Caenorhabditis elegans: one gene and its partners. The protein of the gene in region 2 interacts with the protein of the main gene of each other region in a pairwise test. Each region holds a gene or a part of one and is shown on either strand. Other genes may lie near its edges. The genes, in order: F48G7.10, crim-1, gip-1 and tyr-1.

The links.
Region 1: the proteins of crim-1 (region 2) and F48G7.10 interact in a two-hybrid assay, tested with the Caenorhabditis elegans proteins (one large-scale study listed by BioGRID).
Region 3: the proteins of crim-1 (region 2) and gip-1 interact in a two-hybrid assay, tested with the Caenorhabditis elegans proteins (one large-scale study listed by BioGRID).
Region 4: the proteins of crim-1 (region 2) and tyr-1 interact in a two-hybrid assay, tested with the Caenorhabditis elegans proteins (one large-scale study listed by BioGRID).

Annotation. Positions count from the first base shown.
Region 1 is NC_003283.11:633,398-636,952, forward strand, and holds F48G7.10 (Phorbol-ester/DAG-type domain-containing protein), read right to left. Parts: upstream 1,559-3,555; 5' UTR 1,497-1,558; coding exon 1,322-1,496; intron 1,077-1,321; coding exon 745-1,076; 3' UTR 504-744; downstream 1-503. Other genes in the region: pals-31 (Protein containing ALS2cr12 (ALS2CR12) signature), read left to right, coding at 3,190-3,456, 3,502-3,555.
Region 2 is NC_003283.11:10,329,087-10,333,688, forward strand, and holds the start of crim-1 (Cysteine-rich motor neuron 1 protein-like), read right to left. Parts: upstream 3,027-4,602; 5' UTR 2,959-3,026; coding exon 2,800-2,958; intron 2,102-2,799; coding exon 1,993-2,101; intron 1,751-1,992; exon of another isoform or gene 1,611-1,750; intron 168-1,610; exon of another isoform or gene 165-167; coding exon of another isoform or gene 95-164; intron 1-94.
Region 3 is NC_003281.10:2,346,029-2,350,625, forward strand, and holds the start of gip-1 (Gamma tubulin complex component protein N-terminal domain-containing protein), read left to right. Parts: upstream 1-1,562; 5' UTR 1,563-1,566; coding exon 1,567-1,639; intron 1,640-2,608; coding exon 2,609-2,701; intron 2,702-2,750; coding exon 2,751-3,008; intron 3,009-4,218; coding exon 4,219-4,423; intron 4,424-4,597. Other genes in the region: phf-5 (PHD finger-like domain-containing protein 5A), read left to right, coding at 386-553.
Region 4 is NC_003281.10:7,872,253-7,877,744, reverse strand, and holds tyr-1 (Putative tyrosinase-like protein tyr-1), read right to left. Parts: upstream 3,965-5,492; 5' UTR 3,959-3,964; coding exon 3,862-3,958; intron 3,703-3,861; coding exon 3,518-3,702; intron 3,083-3,517; coding exon 3,012-3,082; intron 2,962-3,011; coding exon 2,492-2,961; intron 2,443-2,491; coding exon 2,252-2,442; intron 2,206-2,251; coding exon 2,118-2,205; intron 1,978-2,117; coding exon 1,745-1,977; intron 1,622-1,744; coding exon 1,523-1,621; intron 1,476-1,522; coding exon 1,346-1,475; intron 1,125-1,345; coding exon 883-1,124; 3' UTR 551-882; downstream 1-550. Other genes in the region: sup-18 (Iodotyrosine dehalogenase 1 homolog), read left to right, coding at 5-104, 155-337, 384-479.

The DNA of each region.
Region 1 (3,555 bases), 9.7 Mb from region 2:
CGGCGAGGGGAAGTGTATGAATATTAATGATTTCGACGTTGATATTTCCTTCTGCACACACCACTCAATGGATCAGTTGAAGCCGTGAGTAATTTTGGTTGAGCTAATTGTAAATTTTTAAATTCAGATTTCTCCTTGCCGGGATCAGTAGTTGGACGGCTATTATAGATGCTCTGATTCTATTGGTACCAACAAATGTTGAGCTCAACTACATGTTTATTCAACTGTGCTTAAAGCCTATGCTAAGAAAAGTTGAAGGCCAGGACCTGGAAATCATTGAAAAAATACTTCAAGTTCAAGCAGACAATCTCCATAACTACTACATGAACAGAATGCGAACCCCTCACTATTCGGACCGCTTGACGAAAATGATGAAAATTGTTCGATTGCTGGAAGCCCACATTCGGGAGCTGAAAGAAAAAGCTCACATTGCAAAAGTGTTTGACGTATTTTCAATCGAGTTCTCGCATCCGGAAATGTTTGAATACTTTTAATGTGTTTATACAAGTATTTATCTCACGGGTAAACTTTCTAGTCTTATAAAAATATTGAAAATTCATTTTTTTTTGTTATGGAGAAGAAGAAAAATAATGAAAGAAAAAGAGATCAGGGTGGTAAGAATCAGCGTGAAATGTGTTTTCTAGGCAGGCAAAAAACGCCTACCTATGTGCCTTATAGGAACATATTTCGGCATTTTTATGCTGCCTAGAAGGTATTTTTAGATATCATAAAAACTTATTTGAATTATTGGCTTGAAACAATACAATTGTGAACCGCCTTCTCCTTACAACGATGGTGCACATTTGCCAAACAATCCGAGCATTGAACGCCTTGCTTGGAGAGCCCGTAGAGCAGGCTTCCACAGTGATCACAGAACGTTGGTCGGGTGTAGAAATGCTTGTTGAAGTGATGATTGGTGGAGACTTGGGGCTCAGTGGGCGATGGGATCCTGTGCCGAAGCTCTCCAGAATCACTGGAAAGCTCTTGTGGAGGTGGCTGGCGGGGAGATGATGGGCCGAAGTTGCAACGATCGTTTATTAAGGAATGGCAGCGTTTGTGAACAACAGTTTCACAGCCTGAAAATTAAAAATGACTTTAGTATGTACATATGCCCAGTTTTTAGCATCCGACACAGATACATACAGGCCCCGGTGAGAAGCTTAACGTAAGTCTTAAGTCTTGTTCTACTCTTGCCCGAGTTCAAAACGCCACAAGGGAATTTAAGGTCTAAATTCACAGCTGGGTCAGACTCGAATTAATTTTTCAGGGCTTAATAAATTTTCCAAAATTTAAGGAATTGTATTAAATTCAAAAAACTTACCCAAACACCTGTAGCCTTGTTTTCCGAGTCCGTAGATCAACTTGGAGCAAATTGCACAGCAGGTTGGCTGAACAAGAGCCGTGGCCTTGAACCTGTGCCCGGAAATTTCGTGGATTTTTGATCCATCCAATTGACGATCAATGAATGGATTTTCAAATTGTGGCTCGGTGGACATTGTTGGTACGGGTAGACGTGAATGAGCGAAAAACTGCTGTAGATTCAGTTGAAAATCCCGATACTCTATTTATATCTGACTCTGAGGCGCCGCCTACTTTTTGCTTGTTTGTTGTCTGCGCTCTCCACGTTCTCTAATGGTTCTTTACAACGTAGGGACGAAAAAAAAACAAGTTCAATTGGTGAAGTATGGGAAAAATGTTTGAAATAGTTCATATGAACTCAAAATAAGAATTTATGATAGGGAAATCTTTCCAAAACAAATTTGAAATTTTTTTGTGCAGTCAAAAGTGGTGAAAACTCAAAGTGGTCACACAATTGCAATCTAACAAAATATTGACAGGAAATTGTTAAAATCTAAATCTTTTGGGTTCTTTTTCTTTGAAGATTTTTCACTATTAGGGCTAAACTTTTTCAAAATAAAGAAACATCAGAGTATGAAAATTTCACAAAGAAAACAAATTGTATTAAATTTGTATTAAAAAAAATTTCTTCAAAAAATTTGAGGATACATTAGTAGCTGATTTTCAACAACTTATTGAAAAATTTATATTGAAATGTAGGAAAATGTGAGTTGAATTTAAAAATTATTTTTATCGTTAAAAAGTTTATTATAAAATAATCAAATATAATAGTTGCGTTATTAGCCGAAAAAAATATACGGCATTTTCAATGCAAACGGTAATTTCCTTTCTCTTATGAGGTTTTTATAAATTTTCAGCAAAAATTGCATTTTGAGATTGATTCTGAAATGCAAGTTTTTGTACTTTTGCTAACGATTTACACATCAGCCCAGACCAAAAATTACTGTCAGTTTTAAGATGGTACTATTAATAAAAACCGTGCGATTAAACTGTCTAACCAATTTTCCAACACTGTTTTCTTCCCACGAGACGAGTGTCTCCGTGTACGCGGCCGACACAAAAAGCGTGTCGAATACGCATTTTGTGACCTCGCTGGACACGCAGAGTGTGAGAGACCCGTCATATGTTAGACGTATTGTGAAAAATAATCAAATTTTTTGATACGATGAATTACATCTAATTTGGATTCACTGGTATCTCGCACTTTAAGGTTCAATAATGGATTCTAAAAAATCTAAATGAAGAGGGTTGCTAACAATTATTGTTTCCGGAAAACACTAACCATTTCTTTAAAAAAAATCACTCATAGGCTTTATAAACTTTTTTTCAGAAAAAAAACATTTATGTAATGGTCAAAAAATTTCCGAAAATCACCAAGTTACTACAAGGGTAAATTTCAGAAGTTAACAGAGTTGCCGATCAACGGTGTCATTTTTCGAGTTTTAGCTTTGAAAAATCGTAAAACCGACACTCTCGTTTCCAATTGCCAAAAATGTCCAAATCAGACAGTTTCAAAAATTTTCTAAAATTCCTATGATTGTGGTTTTCTAAAATTCCTATGATTGTGGTTTTCTAAAATTCCTATGATTGTGCCTGGAAATGAAGAATTATCAAATTGAATTTCTCTTTGCACGCATGGAGGACACAAAAAACCGATTCTCATTCCCAATTCTATTGCTCATCTCTAATTCTCTACCTCCCTAGTGTTCTTCGGCAACATTGAACATTGAACAAACAATTTTTTCGTCTTATCAAAACTGTTTCGGATTTTCATAAAATTTACCCTTCCTCTAATGTTAGTATACTTCTTATTTTTTGAATTACAGAAAAATGAATGGGTGCCAAACTAGTTCTAACGATATTTGTCAAGAGTGTGATGTATCCGAAATTGGACAACGCTCCTCAAATTGCCAAATTGCTTCGATCAGAGCCAACGAGGAAATTTTACTGCGAGCAATACAGTTGGAGGATCAGAGAATTAATGATTCGAAGAAATACTTATTTTCGACGCATACCAGAGAAGTGATTCAAAAATTCCACAAGACTTTTGAGCCGCTGGATGACGTTCTGAGAAACTTAAACGAGATTTATATAAAAGTGAGTTGTATCAGACAAAATGCAAATTTAAGTCATTCCTTGCAGTGTATACCTGAAGCTGGTTTTTTCCCAGAAGTTAAAAAAGGTGTTGTGGATGGT
Region 2 (4,602 bases):
TGGTTACCGCCATCACCCCCTTTGTCACTTATTTTGACTCTATTAATTTCTTTTTGACAATATCTGTTCAAGAAGAGAATGCCTTCTAGCACACCTGATTGCTCCGTTCGGAGAAAATTGACAAATGAGAAGAGAAGTAGAAAGACGCAGACGACTAGTTGCATTCTCGAGCTGTAAATATAGTGAGTAGGAGAAAGAGGATTAGAGCACAAAAATACACAAAAATCACATGGAAAAAAGAAAGAAGGATTTGAAAACATGAGAACATCTGATCAGGTGGACACCGAGAAGATACTTGGTGATGACTGAAGAACAAAAAAGTTGCAGATGACAGGGTCAATTTCAAGTTGGTCAAGGCATATGAACCATTTTTATGCATTTCAAAGCAAAAATCAACTGGTACACATTACGATGAAAGGCGTTTTATGGAAGTGGCAAGTTACAATATGCAGAAAAACAAAGTACAATTTATACATTATAAGCAATGGATTCGGTTTGTCTAAATTGAAACAACAGATATTACATAGTGAAACCAAATTCATTGCAGTTAATATAGAAAATAATGAAAGGCATTTTTATTTTGAAGTTTCAAACAAGTTTATTTTTATTTGTTGAAAATAATTTTTGTATATCAAATTTTTCTGATTTTTCCTTGTTATTTAAGCACAGAAATGTCGGGAATAGCCATTTTGAAATTTCAAAGTATGTACACATAATTTTTGATATATACTAAGACATTTTCAAATTCAAATGAGAAGCAGAAAGATTTGCCGATGACAAAAATAGAAAAAAAAATTTCATGAAAAGAAGCTTAACCATTACTAATCTCCAAGACACCAAGCTCTTCTTTCCGTAAAAAAATTATCGAAATGATTTACGTCGTCCCGCATATGGCCAACTCTATGCAACACTTGAAGACAAAGTAGGCGGAGTCAATTGAGGGAGACAGAGGTTAGACACTTCTCGAAACTCTGTTCTTTTTCGGTGTCGCGCAATTGGTTAGTCATTCGTTCCGTTTTTTTTTTTTGAAATTTTCTGTTTCCTATGCAATCATAATTCGAAAATTGAATTAAAGTTTGATGGCATCTTGAACGAAACAACACGGAATAGACAAATACAGGAAGGAGTACATTTTTGAACTGAAAATCCAGACAAAACCAAATGTGCTTGAGCATAAAATAATTCGAGATCAGGTTGAGACGGAAATTCTACAACAAGGCCGATCGTGGCTCGTTGTTCCATTATATTTCAGTAAAAATGTAGAAAATGTTTTAATAATCTATAAACTTTTCATTTTGAGTTAAAGGAGTTGGGAGGTGCTTAATGATGGCTTAAAATCTTCCAATTACCAAACATTGGAACAACATGCCGCAATCAAGAATTTTCTAGCTCACTCCTTTTCTAGATCTTGAAAGAAATTGATAAAAACAATTTATTTTTGAACAATCTAAGTATTTTTTAACAACATTCAAGTTTTGGTATGCTCAGAATCCTTGCAATATTTCAATTACTTGATATCCCCATTGCCTACATTGTCCGATTTTTTATCCACAACAAGATCGTTTCAATTCTCAAGTTAGTCCAACCCATTTTCTACCTTTGCAAGCCGCCCTATCTGCGGACACAACATAGAGGACTTTTTGGTTAAAAAACTGCGGGCAGAGTGAAGTAAAGTAAATAGAAATTGTATATTCGGGAGAGCAGGGTGGATTGCGTCGTCCGGCGAGCACACACGAGAAGCCTCAGCACAAGAGAACCGCCACCATTTTGAGAAGTCATTTTTTATAGGAAGAGAAAATGAAAGAGAGAGAGAGATAGAGAGACTGAGAAGAAACCCTATCAAATTTCAGCAATAAAATAAGCCCAATAGTAACTCTAGAGCACCCTTTTCTTTTTAATTAGGAAGCATTCTGGACCTCGAAAAAACAACCAAAGTTCTTTCAAATCGAATGAAACATGCAAAGGGACTTTGAAATATTGAAGAAAATATACCTTTACATCGACTTGAACCATCAAGATCGTTTTCCTGATGACATGAAAGATGCGAATCACAAACAAGACCAGGCCCGTCGCAAGTTTCACCGATTTGTCGAATGCAGACCTGCAAGTATAACTTTTTGTTTATTGTTTGAAAGCCGTTAAAAAAGACCGCACATACTTTTTTATAGACTTTTGACTTATGTTTAAGTTTATTCAGTGTATTTCTTTTTGTAGAAACAAAATTATAACTAAAACCGCGGTTTAAAAACCGAAAGTAAGATTTAAGGGACAGTTATTATCATTTGAAACTTAGAAAGTTGAACCACTTTCAAAGCAATTAGGATTATTTTTAATGTACCGTGTTTCCTCTATTAGTAAAAAAAGTACTAATTATCGGGAACCTATCTATGTGCAATTTCATTATAGGAATAAGAGGAATAAGAGCTCTAAGAGGATACACGGTATCTGAATTATGCGTTTCTATCAAACGGTTCTTCGTTTTGGTACTGATTTGACTGTGTAGCATAATACATTAAAGCTCATCTTTATTCAGTTGTTTCACTGAGCATTTGATCCTTTCATTTGTTCATTTGATCATTGTCCAATAATAATTAAGTTATTGGGGATTTATGATAATAGTTAGAATTTTAGTCATGAGAAATTGTGGAAAATTATTTCAAAAGCTCACATTCAATGTTCTGGAATTTTAAAAAGAAAATTAAAACTGAGGAACTAGAATATTAAAATTAATTTTAAAAATAAGTTTTAAAGAATTGTTAAACCATAGTTCGTTTTCTATCAAAATTTTAAATTACTCACTTCGCAGCAATCGCACTGATCCTTTTTCAATTGCTCGCATCCTGAAACATCTGGACATGAATCCTTGTCACATGTCCCGCACAATGTGGTCTTTTGGTTTTTTGCATTGGAAATGATAAGAAATGTGAAGAGTAAAATAATACTACTTGACCACTGCATTTCAACAATTCTGCATAACCGTTTTTGCCGTTCAGCGGAGAAGCCGCGTGATGAACGGCCCACAAGCTCTGCAAAGAAAAATATGAAAATTGTAGTCATGTATATAAATTTTTTGTCGATTTTTTTGGGACCATGTAACTAAGATTTCAATTCAAATGAAAAAGTAAGTAAAACGAGAAACAGAGAGACCGTCTCGTAGTGTCCCAATTTGAAATGAACTGTGTCTGTGCAGGCCCCGCCTTTGAAAATCGAACTGCGCGGGATCTTCACGACGGTAAAGCACAAGAATCAGAGAGGTTATAGACAACGAAAGTGATCCGAGTCGATCGGTGAAGAAGCTGCACTGTCAAAGAGAAAGAACACAAGCGAGCAAGCAGGGAGACGAAAAAAGGTCTGTTGACATTGGGCGAAAGACAAAATGATGAAGGTGCGCGGAGACAGAAAGATGGTAGCAGAAGCTCGTAGTATACCGAACTGGCGCCCGATGGATTAGAACACTTTGTTTTGCAATTCAATAGAAAGAAACAACAACATAATTAAGAAGAAACACTCAGTTCATTTGACAAAGGAGACCTAGTTCCGTGTTATAACATTGATAATGACTTTCATCAAAGATTCTAAGTTTATTCATGTTTACTTTAGAAACTAGAACCAGATCAAACAAAAAAAAATAGGTGGATGTTCCTATGCTACCTACTCAAAAGAACAGTTTTTACTTAACTATTTGTTTTATTCCACAGTTTTTCAAGAGAAGAGAAGTTATCTAGTTTTCAAAAATAACAAGTGATTTTATTACTGATAAAACTATTACGTCTCGTGCAAAATGTTCATTTGAAGAATTCAACTTTCAAATGATTCCGGAATTATCTTCAACGTTCACTAAAGAATTTACCGTTTGAAATGCAGAAAAAAAGAATATTGAGGAGCAGGAAACCTGGAATATTTGAAATCTGGAGAAAATGAAACCCTGAAAAACACACAGAAAACTGGTCGCTAAGCGTGTCAACCTTACAAAAAGATTACGGTACTTTCCCTATTAGCCTTGTACATTTAATGCTCTATCTTGGCAGCTCATATTTGGTTATCCTTGGTATTATCACAAATTTTGTCAATACTAAAATATCAAAAAGTAATTGGCACCAAATTTATGTGCTACATTTTTAAGCCGAAGAAAACCTAGAAATAGTTTCTTAAAGTATATCAATAAGGGTAGTGCTATATTTTGTGGTATTCTATTGAGAAGTTTCCAATTAATTAGGAAGACATGCCAATCAGCCGAATGATCGAAGAGCATTCAAATCGTATTAAATTTGAAATAATACTTCTTTAACTTTAAAAAAGTACACAATGTTCCACAAAAAACGATTCTTATGAAAACTCAATAAAAATCGCCTGGTTTAGGCCATAGTAAATTTTTTATGTGTTCAAAATGCTCTTATCAACTTGAGTGAACGAGGACAAGAAAATAGACAAAAAACGAGTCGATGAGAGATGGAAAAGGAAACATTGAAACCATTTAGATTATGCGGGTCTAGACGGGAAAAGGTAAAAAAACGTCTCATGGAGGTCTCATTGAAATACATGCTGCCTCAAATAAGAAACCGGTAAGGAACGGTGTGATAAAAGATAGAAAATGAGATGAAT
Region 3 (4,597 bases), on a different chromosome or scaffold from region 2:
TGTCAGTTTTCCGCAAAAAATGCTCGAAAATCCAAAATTTTGTGAAATTTCTCTCAAAAAACGCGTGAAAAACGCTATTCAAAAAAGTGCAATTTTCAGCTTTTTTTTACTAATTTTTTCTTTAAAAAATTCAAATTTTTGACTGGATTTCTTCAAATTCTCCATTAAAAACGGGTTTTTACTCAGAAAAGAGGGGAAAAACCAGGAAAATTGAAAAATTTTCATATTTTTCGACTGAAAAATGCAAAATTTTGTGAAATTTCTCTCAAAAAACGAGTGAAAAACGGCAAAATTTACAAATTTTTCTAAAAAAAAATCGGAAAAACGCGAAATTTTCATGTTTTTTTTCGGCTAAAAATTAAAATTTCCATTTTTTTTTTTGCAGGGTCGGTGTGTGATTTGTGGTGGCGCTGGCGTCAGTGATGCATATTATTGCAAAGAATGCACAATTCTCGAAAAGGATCGTGACGGATGCCCGAAAATTGTGAATTTGGGAAGTGCGAAGACGGATTTGTTCTACGAACGAAAGAAATTCGGATCGAAAAAGTCGTAGAAATTGGCTTTTTGGCGGCGAAAATGAGCGAAAAATCACAAAATTTCGCCGAATTTTCACCTATATCACCTCTAATTTATCAAAAATGTTCCAATTTTCTGTTAATTTCCACTTTTTTCCGCTGAAAATTCCTATTTTTCTTGAAATCTGACTGAAATTTGGCTAAAAATGAGCTGGAAATATCGAAATTTGGCTGAAATCGTAAAATTCCCTTTTTGTTCCCTGAAAATTGAGCAAAAATGTCAAAATTTTGGCATTTTTGACCAAATTTTGCCTATTTTTGTGAAAATTTGCCTTTTTTTTTCGTTGTTTTTATCGAAATTTTGCTGAAATCGCGATTTTTTCCACTATTTTTCCCTAAAACATCCCTTTTTTACTGGAAATTTGGGCAACATTTTGGCATTTTTGCCTATTTTTGTGAAAATGTTACCATTTTATTGAAAAATTAGCTTAAAATGACAATATTTTCCTAAAAATTTCGAATTTCCGTGAAAAATAGCCAAAATGTCACTTATTTCAGTTAAAAATATGCCATTTCCCTGAAATTTGGCTGAAAATTCGCCTATTTTCACTTAAAATTCCGCAAAAAGCCCTTTTTTTCACTCAAAATGTTCAATTTTTCCCTGAAATTTGCCTGAAAAATCGATATTTTCACTCATTTTCACCTTAAAAATTGTCTTTTTCCCCCATTTTTTCCAATTTTCCTCTACCCTTTTATCAATTTTCGAATAAATTATCGATTTTTCTGTAATTTTTCCCTTTTTTTGCTGTGTTGTGCTGGTTTTGTTACCTATTTGTGTATATTTATCTCTATTTTTTACGGGAATTTTCAGTTTTCCCCGAATTTTTCTGAATTAAAATCACTAAAAATCGATTTTTCTTCCTGAAAATTGGGTAATTTTGCGAGAAATTTAATTTTTGTTTAAAAAAAAACTAAAATCTGAATATTTTTTGGAGAAAATTAACCAAAAACTTGAAATTTTATGAAAAAAAAATGGAAAAATTTCAGATAAATGCGTCGACAAGGCAGCGAAGAAGTTGAAGCTGTACAGCAATTTTTAAATGCTTTCGGGTTTCATGATAGAGGTAATTGGATTGAATTTTAGAAGAAAAAACACCGAAAAAGCCGAAAAATTGACTGAAAAATCGAATTTCTGACGAAAAAATGAGATTTTCCATAAAATATCAATAATTTCAAGTAAATATTCGAATTTCGAGGGGTACGGTAGCACCAAAAGTACGCAAACACTGTGGTACACCAAATCTTACGACATTTTGCAGAAAAACTCCTGAAATTATAATAAGAGTTCAGATTTTTTTCATCAAAAGAATATATTGGTGGCCGAACTCCTTGGATTTTTTTAGGCCACGATTTTCTGAGCCAAAAATTTTATTTTGAATTTTTCGTTCAAATCTCGTTTTTTACTAGAGAAACTCCAATTTCGGCTTTTTTTCTCTTGGTTGCCTAACTTTTTTTTTAGATTTCTAGGCCACCCATTAAAAATAGACCGTTTTATTTGATTTTCTACATAAAAACGGGGATTTTGAATTTTGAATAATTCAAATTTTAAAACCAAAATTTTAATTTTAAGTCTTTTTTTTTTTTGAGATATTTGAAATTTTCTAGACGGTTTTTTGGTGATGAATCGGTTTTTATTAGAATTTCAACTATAAAAACCGAATTCTAGTCAGTTTTTGGATTTAAAATCAATTGGTGGCCGAACTTGTTGGATTTCTAGGCTACCAAACTTCTGAACATTTTCCCCTGTGACTCTTGTGCCTCTATTCGTATTGATTGCAGTAAAAACGGGTATTTATTCACATTTTTAGCCTTAAATTGGCTTAAAATGTGAATAAATACCGTATTTCTGCAAACAATTTGACAATAGAGCACATTTGTCACTTGGAGATGCGGAAGCTATGCCCAAATTTTCATTTTCAAGCCGAAAAACTTGTGAATTTTCGCGATTTTTGCACAAAAAAAACCATTTTCAGCCGATTTTTCCGTAGAAAAACGGATTTTTAATCAAAATTTTGCAATTTTCTGTATTTCAGATGTGATAAAAGTTCAAGAAGGGCTATTCCACAGCCGTCAGCTCAACGATGTGAACGCTTCGAGAACATGTGTAGATCAATTTGTTAAGAAATGTATGAAATTCCAGGGAAAAAACCAAAAAAAAAAGCGGCAGTTTTCCAGGCGAACTTCGTGATCCGAACGGAATAAAACCGCTTCGCAAAAAAATCGATGCTCTGATGAACGAATCGGTAGAAATGAATTATATGATGGATTTTCTTGTGAGATGTCGACAGGCTCACTTATTTCATAATGAAACAATAAGAAATAGTCCGAGTATTGGTCTGGGATCCATTGGAGGTACCCCGACCAATTCGATTCCATCCTCATCGCCGTTTCAAAGAAGATCTGCAAGTCGTGGACGGGTGCTCAGCACGCTGAGTTCGGTGTTTTACCGGTTTTAGCCGCGAAAAATTGTGAAAAAACGGAGCAAATATCACTGAAAAGTCGATAATTTATTTGAAAATTGACATTTATTTTCATTAAAAATTCGAAAAATTAGACATTTTCGGTCAAATTTGACCTGAATTTTATAAAAATATTTTTTTTCTCCTTAAAAGTTGAAGATTGTGCTTATTTTTGTTCGATTTTCGAGAAAAAATGCTGAAATAAAACCTACAAAAATGTGGAAAATTGAAAAAAAAAAGTTTTTTTTTTCATTAATTTTCAATAGAAAAAAAAACGAAATTTTTGCCATGATTAAGTGGCCGAACTTTTTGGATTTCTAGGCCACCAGTCGGAAAACTCGGATTTTTAGAAATTTTTTATTAAATTTCTAATTCTCAAGCAACAATTATTGCGTTTTTTTTCATTAATTTTTTTTTAATTTTTGAGGCTTTTTTTTGGCGAAGAGTCGCTTTTTAATCGAATTTTGAATATAAAAACTGAATTCTATGTGGTTTTTGGATTTAAAATCATTCGGTGGCCGAACTCTTTGGATTTCTAGGCCACAAAATTTTTGAACTATTTTCCCCTGTGACTTATGTGCCTCTACTCGTTTTTTTTTGTTTGCACTAAAAACTGTATTTATTCACATTTTCATCCTCAAATTGGGCTGAAAATGTGAATAAATACCGTATTTCTGCCAACAATTTGACAATAGAGCACATTTGTCACTCGGAGATGCGGAAGCTATGCCCAAATTTTCATTTTTCACCCGATTTTTAGCATATTTTTGGGGTTTTGATGGATTTTAAGTGTTGAAATCGGTTTCAGCTAAGAAATTTTCGGTGACCGATCTTTATGGAATTCTAGGCCACCAAGCTGATTTTGAGCCAAAAAGCTATGCTCAAATTTTTATTTTCGCAATAAGATTTGCAATTTTCCATAGAATCATTCCACAAAAATCAAATTTTGAGCAAATCCCCAAACACTGTGGCCTAACTTTTTGCAAGTTTTTAGGCCACCCATTAGAACTTTGGCGTTTTTTCTCGAATTTTCTACAAATTTCTATGTAAAAATGTATTGAAATTGAGAAAAACTACAAATTCAAGCCTATTTTCGCTTTAAAAATCATGAAAAATCATTTTTTTTTAATTGGAAATTCACAGAAAATTGGCGAATTTTTCCATAAAACTAGTGAATTTTCCAGCCGGAGACCAACAAACTCCATCAATTGCCGATTCATCGTCTCGTTCTCGTGCCAATTCCTCATTTACTGCCTATGACAATCGAATGCTTGGAATGGAACGCCAATTGGCTGGAAATATGGCTCAACGGCCACGGAGTCCGTATACAATTAATGGAATACCAACTACGAGGGTTCAGCCGATTAGCGCCAGCAATCAGCTTTTTACGTGCGTAATTTTCGAGAAAATTTGAGGAAATTTGGTTGAAAATACCGAATTCACCGCTAATTTTCACCCCTAGCACACTTTTTCCGGGTTACTGTAGCTTTAAAAGTACGCCAACACCAGATCTAACGACATTTTTCAGAAAATCGCGAAAAAATGAGTTTTTGTGATTAAAAA
Region 4 (5,492 bases), on a different chromosome or scaffold from region 2:
CCAGAAAAGGAGCTTCTTGGGTAGTTGATGTATCACAATTACAAGACACGTGGCGGAGGCCATACATTACAGATGCTCCATATCTATTAATTGTTTGTCATGAGGTTTGATTCAAAACAATCTTAAAATCAATCCTCAAACATCTGGTTTTCAGATATTTCGTGACGTGCATAGTAAAACAGAACGGGTATTCCACTATAATCAAATAAGCACATCAATTGCTGTTGGCATCCTTTTGGCTGCAATTCAGAATGTTGGATTGAGTACTGTAGTGACGTCACCGTTGAATGCAGGACCCGATATTTCAAGAATATTGAGGAGGCCTGAGAATGAAAGTGTAAGCAGATGATAGAGTATAGTACAATCCAAGTGGTTAATTGCAGATACTACTGCTACTTCCTCTTGGTTATGCGTCAGAAGACGTGCTTGTTCCAGATCTCAAAAGAAAACCGGTCGAACATATCACCAAACTATATTGATTTTGTCATTCACTTTTCATCTCCCATGTTCCTTTCAGATTTTTTAACATTTGAAATTCATTTTTCTTAATAAAATCAGGGTTTATTTTTATTAGAAACTCGTACGATTTTTAATAGTTACACTGGTTTATATTAAGGGCAGGTTACAAGCTTTAAAAAAAGATCAAACATATTTTATTAATTTTCTTGGAAAATAAGAAAACAAATCAGGGGCAGGGGGTGTTGGAAATCAGTTTGTACAAAAACCCGGATCAACTGTGATTTCGGCAGGTGTGAAATTGTTTTGAAGAAAGTTCGGAAGGATTTTGGGAAGGAAAACGACACGTAGAGAGAATGTGATACACATTGGTTGGGTGAAAATGACAATTTTCAGTAAAGATTTTTAAAAAATTTCGAAAAGTGATTATCGTCCATAATCAAGCATAAAATCATCAACAAAGTCATCTGCATCTGGCTCAGTGAGCCAGAACTTTGCATTTCTTCGAACTCTTCTTGATTGACGAGCAACTGATGCACATAATTGAGCTTCGTTCATATTGCACCATCCACATGTTGCTTGACAATTTTCAGCCATCCATTGACGACGGCGGGTACAGAAGTTCTGTCCACGCCAGTAGGCACAAGATATGTGACGATCATGACATCCTGAACTCATTTGGTTTTATAATTACATAGGAAGTTTTCGATTATTATGATAAAACGCAAAATATTTCAAAATTGACTCAAGTAATTCCACCCAGTTGAGACTAACTATTAGAAACTAGGTTTTCATTTTAGGTAGACGGGGAGGCCTCTCTGGGAATTTCTAGATACACCTGCTCGTTGAGATTTTATAAAATATCCCATTTTTGCTACTCAAAACACACCTCTATTGTTATCATTAGACTGACACAATCCACAAGATTTCCTACAATATCTATTCATGTAAACTGTATTTGTTCGACACTCATTCTGACGAGACCACTGATTACAGCATGGATCTTCGTTGTAGCAATTCTGAAATATTAGACATTTTGCACGTGTTCCAGTGAGGATTAGCTTACAGATTGTGGGGTTGTGGCTGGTCTCTGTTGCTGTGGTTGCTGTTGCTGGGGCTGCTGCTGAGGTTGTTGAACAGTAGCCACTGCAGTGGTTTGCGCTGGCTAAAAATATTAATGTTTGAGTTTTTTTAATACGGGTATAAAAGTATATAATTGAAATTTTTATCAAGTATGGATTCATGTTCAAAAAATCTGAAACTTAAGCTACATAAAAAGTTGTCGTACCTGTTGGAACTGTTGTCCACCTCTACACCATCCAGCAACACATGTACCCATGTAACAAGAATCTAATCCTTCGAATCCACGGCACAAACCACCTGGCTTCACCTTTGCCACGCAATGTGGATTGCCACGTGTATCACAGAACAGATATTGAGATCCGCAGTTGGCATTATTACGGTTACACGTTGGACGAGGAGCATAGTGATACAAATTATCAGTGTAGGCATTCGAGAGACCTGAAGAAAATTGGAAACTTTTTACACTTTCAAATTTTTTACAAAGTTAAAAATAATCTGGAATCGTTGTTTTAGTATGCTAGTCAATTAATTCACACTTTCCAGTAGACTTTCCAGACAGCATAATAGAGCAAACTTACCATCACGATTAATTTTATCCCAAGGTCTCATTTGAGCATAACTGAAGTGTTGAGAATTGGCACAAGCGGCAATGTCTGGTGGATATTGCTGAAAATAAATCTTTTTACAGTAATTTTTCATAACTTTAACGAACATTTTCTCTTGCAAATCTATTCTGGTGATTTTGTCTCCACATTTCCCAAATAAAATCGACAAATGTGTGATGGAGGAAGAAGACTGGGTCATTTGCAGATGTTGATGGTGGTTTCATGTCTCCGCCCATCCATAAATGAATTGATGCATGAGTATACTCAAGCGCTCCAAAATAGGGACGGAATGGGCATCCTGCAATATTTCAAAATTTTAAGTAAAATTCGATAAATAAATAGATTACCTCCTTGTGGAGCAGTGAAAGCCATTACGCTAACCAAATCATTTTGTGCCATCAAATTATTAATATTTTGTTCAGTGAACATTTTCCCTTCAGTAGCCATTCTTCTAATAATATTAGGCCTTCCTTCAAGTGTTCTGAATCCAGCAAATGGACCACTAACCAATTGACCAGAAGCATCAGTCATTCCCATAAATTGTGGTCCAAACATAATAGAGTCTCTTGGATCGGGAAGATATGATTCTAGAACAGAATCCCAATATGGCATAGATATTCCTGGATCAATCATTCTAAGAGCAATTTCCATTCTTTTCATGTATTCTCTATGCCAGACAAGGAAGCCTGGACCGGAATGAGCTCCGGAGGCTGAGCCAACTTGTCGATGCATTACTGAAAGACGATCGTATTCTCCTGAACGTTTCAATTGTATTAGGGCATTGTGCCACCGTTGTCGTTCGTTATCTGACATCATTCTAAAATTTTGTTTGTAAATTTTTTGTAAATTAGATGAAATATGTAATACCTATACTCTTTTCTATATGCCATTAAGTAAGGTTGCCCATTTGGTAGGATACATCCATTTGCCATTCGTCCCTAGAATTTTTAAATTTTGTTTTATTTTTGTTTTTCAAGCATTTTGTCTTGAACATTTCTTCTTGGAAACATCTTAGATTGCCAGAAGTATAATGGCGCGAGGAATGTACGATTTAAATAGTTTAAAATGCACAGTTACTTCGCACTTGGTACAAACTTTTTGAACAAGTGGTATAAAAAATATTAACTTGATTCAGAATTTGCCAAAATTAGGTTTAAGACAAACCTAAATTTTGCCCAAGTTTGATCTAAAGAAAATTATTTAGGAACTAATTTTGACAAGAGTAAGATTAAACTTAGGTTTATCTTGAGGATAGCTTGAACGAACTTCAGCAACTTCGGAATCAAGGTAATATTTTTTGAGCCTAGACAGACTAGACAAGAAGTTGAAAACAAATGCCAAGTAGTAAAAATGAAAGTAACATTCAAACAAACCCCCATATACGGACAGATGCATGCTATATTCATGCATCCTTGAGCTGATGGAGCAAATCGTGGTGGATTTGATGGAGAAAACCCCTGAACTCCTGGAGCACCTGCATTGAATGCCTGCCGTTTTCTAATTGCCTTCCGTGCAGCACTGTCCCATTCTTGGAGCATATGGCATGTTTGGACCATGTCTGAAAATTTTTTATTCTTTGTTTTTTGAAAAGGAAAGGAATTGGTAATTGTTTTATGTTTTCTAAATTTTTTATACTTTTAAACCTAGTTGTGAGAAACATTAAGAAACTTATAAAATAGTCAATTTATTTTTTGCAAAAGTATTCTGAATACCCTACCTGAATCAGGAGCCTGTGAGCAATTAAAGTCGGCATGTACTGTGCTAATAACTGCCAGTGTGCCGGAAAACAAAAGGAAGGCACGAAGCCGACCCATTTTTGTCTGAAAAGGGATCTTTTGAGAGCATAAAATAAAAATAGATGACGAGGATGACCATGAGGAACCAAATAAAAAATCCGAACTTGGTAATGTTCTCCAAAAAATCATTTCTGGTGAAAATTTGGTTTGACCTTCTGGTAAAATGTTTAGTGATTGATTTTTATGTAAGAATGTTGACAAGGAATGAAAATAGACAACAAGAAATACAACTTGATTAAAAAATCATTATCTGTACATTTTGATATCTCAACTATATTCTACTAAAACGATTGTCCTTTCAAATAGGCTAAGCAATGTGCTACAGAAAGTTCACAACTAGAGACGGGAAGCTTTCAAAGTTAGAGAGAAAGTTGGCAACGTTAGACTGAAAGTAAACAATGTTCCACAAAAGTTTGGTAGTCGAAGTTGAAAAGTTGACAGAATGCTACTGAAAGTGCTGAAAGTAGTCCTAGATTTTTAGGTATTCATTTTAAAAAAATCTCTCAAAACCTTCTACCATGATTTGAAAAAGTGACCGAATAATTCAGAATTTCCAATTCTGACCATTGCCTCCCACTTTTCTCTTCTAGCTAAAAGTGAAAAACGAGAGTGTATACAATATTGGGAGACAGTATAAGAAATTCCATTCGAATTGACCTTCGTGCGTCTCGATTGCGTATTCTTTTTATTTACACCTTCTACCTCAAAACTACAAAAATAGCTCATTTCTCTGTCCACCCTCTCTTAATTTTGCGCTATTTTATTAAATTTTGCCGGTTTCTTTGGGATTCCTCGTTCAGATGCTAATTGTTGATTCAATTCAGTTTCGAAAGTTCACGCGTCGGAGGGGGTGGAGCCAATTGTTTGGCGAACACATGATGGTTGCGAGGAAAGATTCAAGAGAAAAAAAAAATGATAAGATCACCTCGAGAAAACCCTAAAATTTGAAGAAAAAAACGGATAGAATTCGTGAAAAGATTGACGTCAATTTGATGATTGCGCGACGATCACGGCCTAGAAACAATTACATAGAATGAGTCAGTAAATAGTCAAATGTCTAGTAGGTCAACTAGGGAAACCTTGCAGATATGAATTTCAGAATTTTTTTTTTCAGAGTTCAAAAATATTTGAAAAAGTACCGCGAGCAACTCTTAATTTTATTTAGGTCAAAAACTAGCTTTGCTATGCTATGCTCAACATTTTCTTTAAAATCTTTTCTTTTTTGGAAAAAAGATGTAAGCCTGAAGTTTAAATAGCTGTGCAAGAATGTTTTCAGACTTTTTCAGAATATTAAAAATTGAAAAAAACTTCCAGAATGATCACCTAATTATTAAGCATCCTACAAAATCAAAAACCCACAAAAAAAAAGATTTTGGAACAATTCTACATACAGGTACTGAAAAATTTCTGATCGAAATTTGAGGTGTTAACTAAAACATGACTCGTCAAGAAGGCTGAGTGTAAATTTAGAACCTTTTCTTGTTATTTTGAAGTTTTCAAGTTTTCAAGCTTAACCTGAACTATTACATACCTGAGCCTTATCATTTAGCCT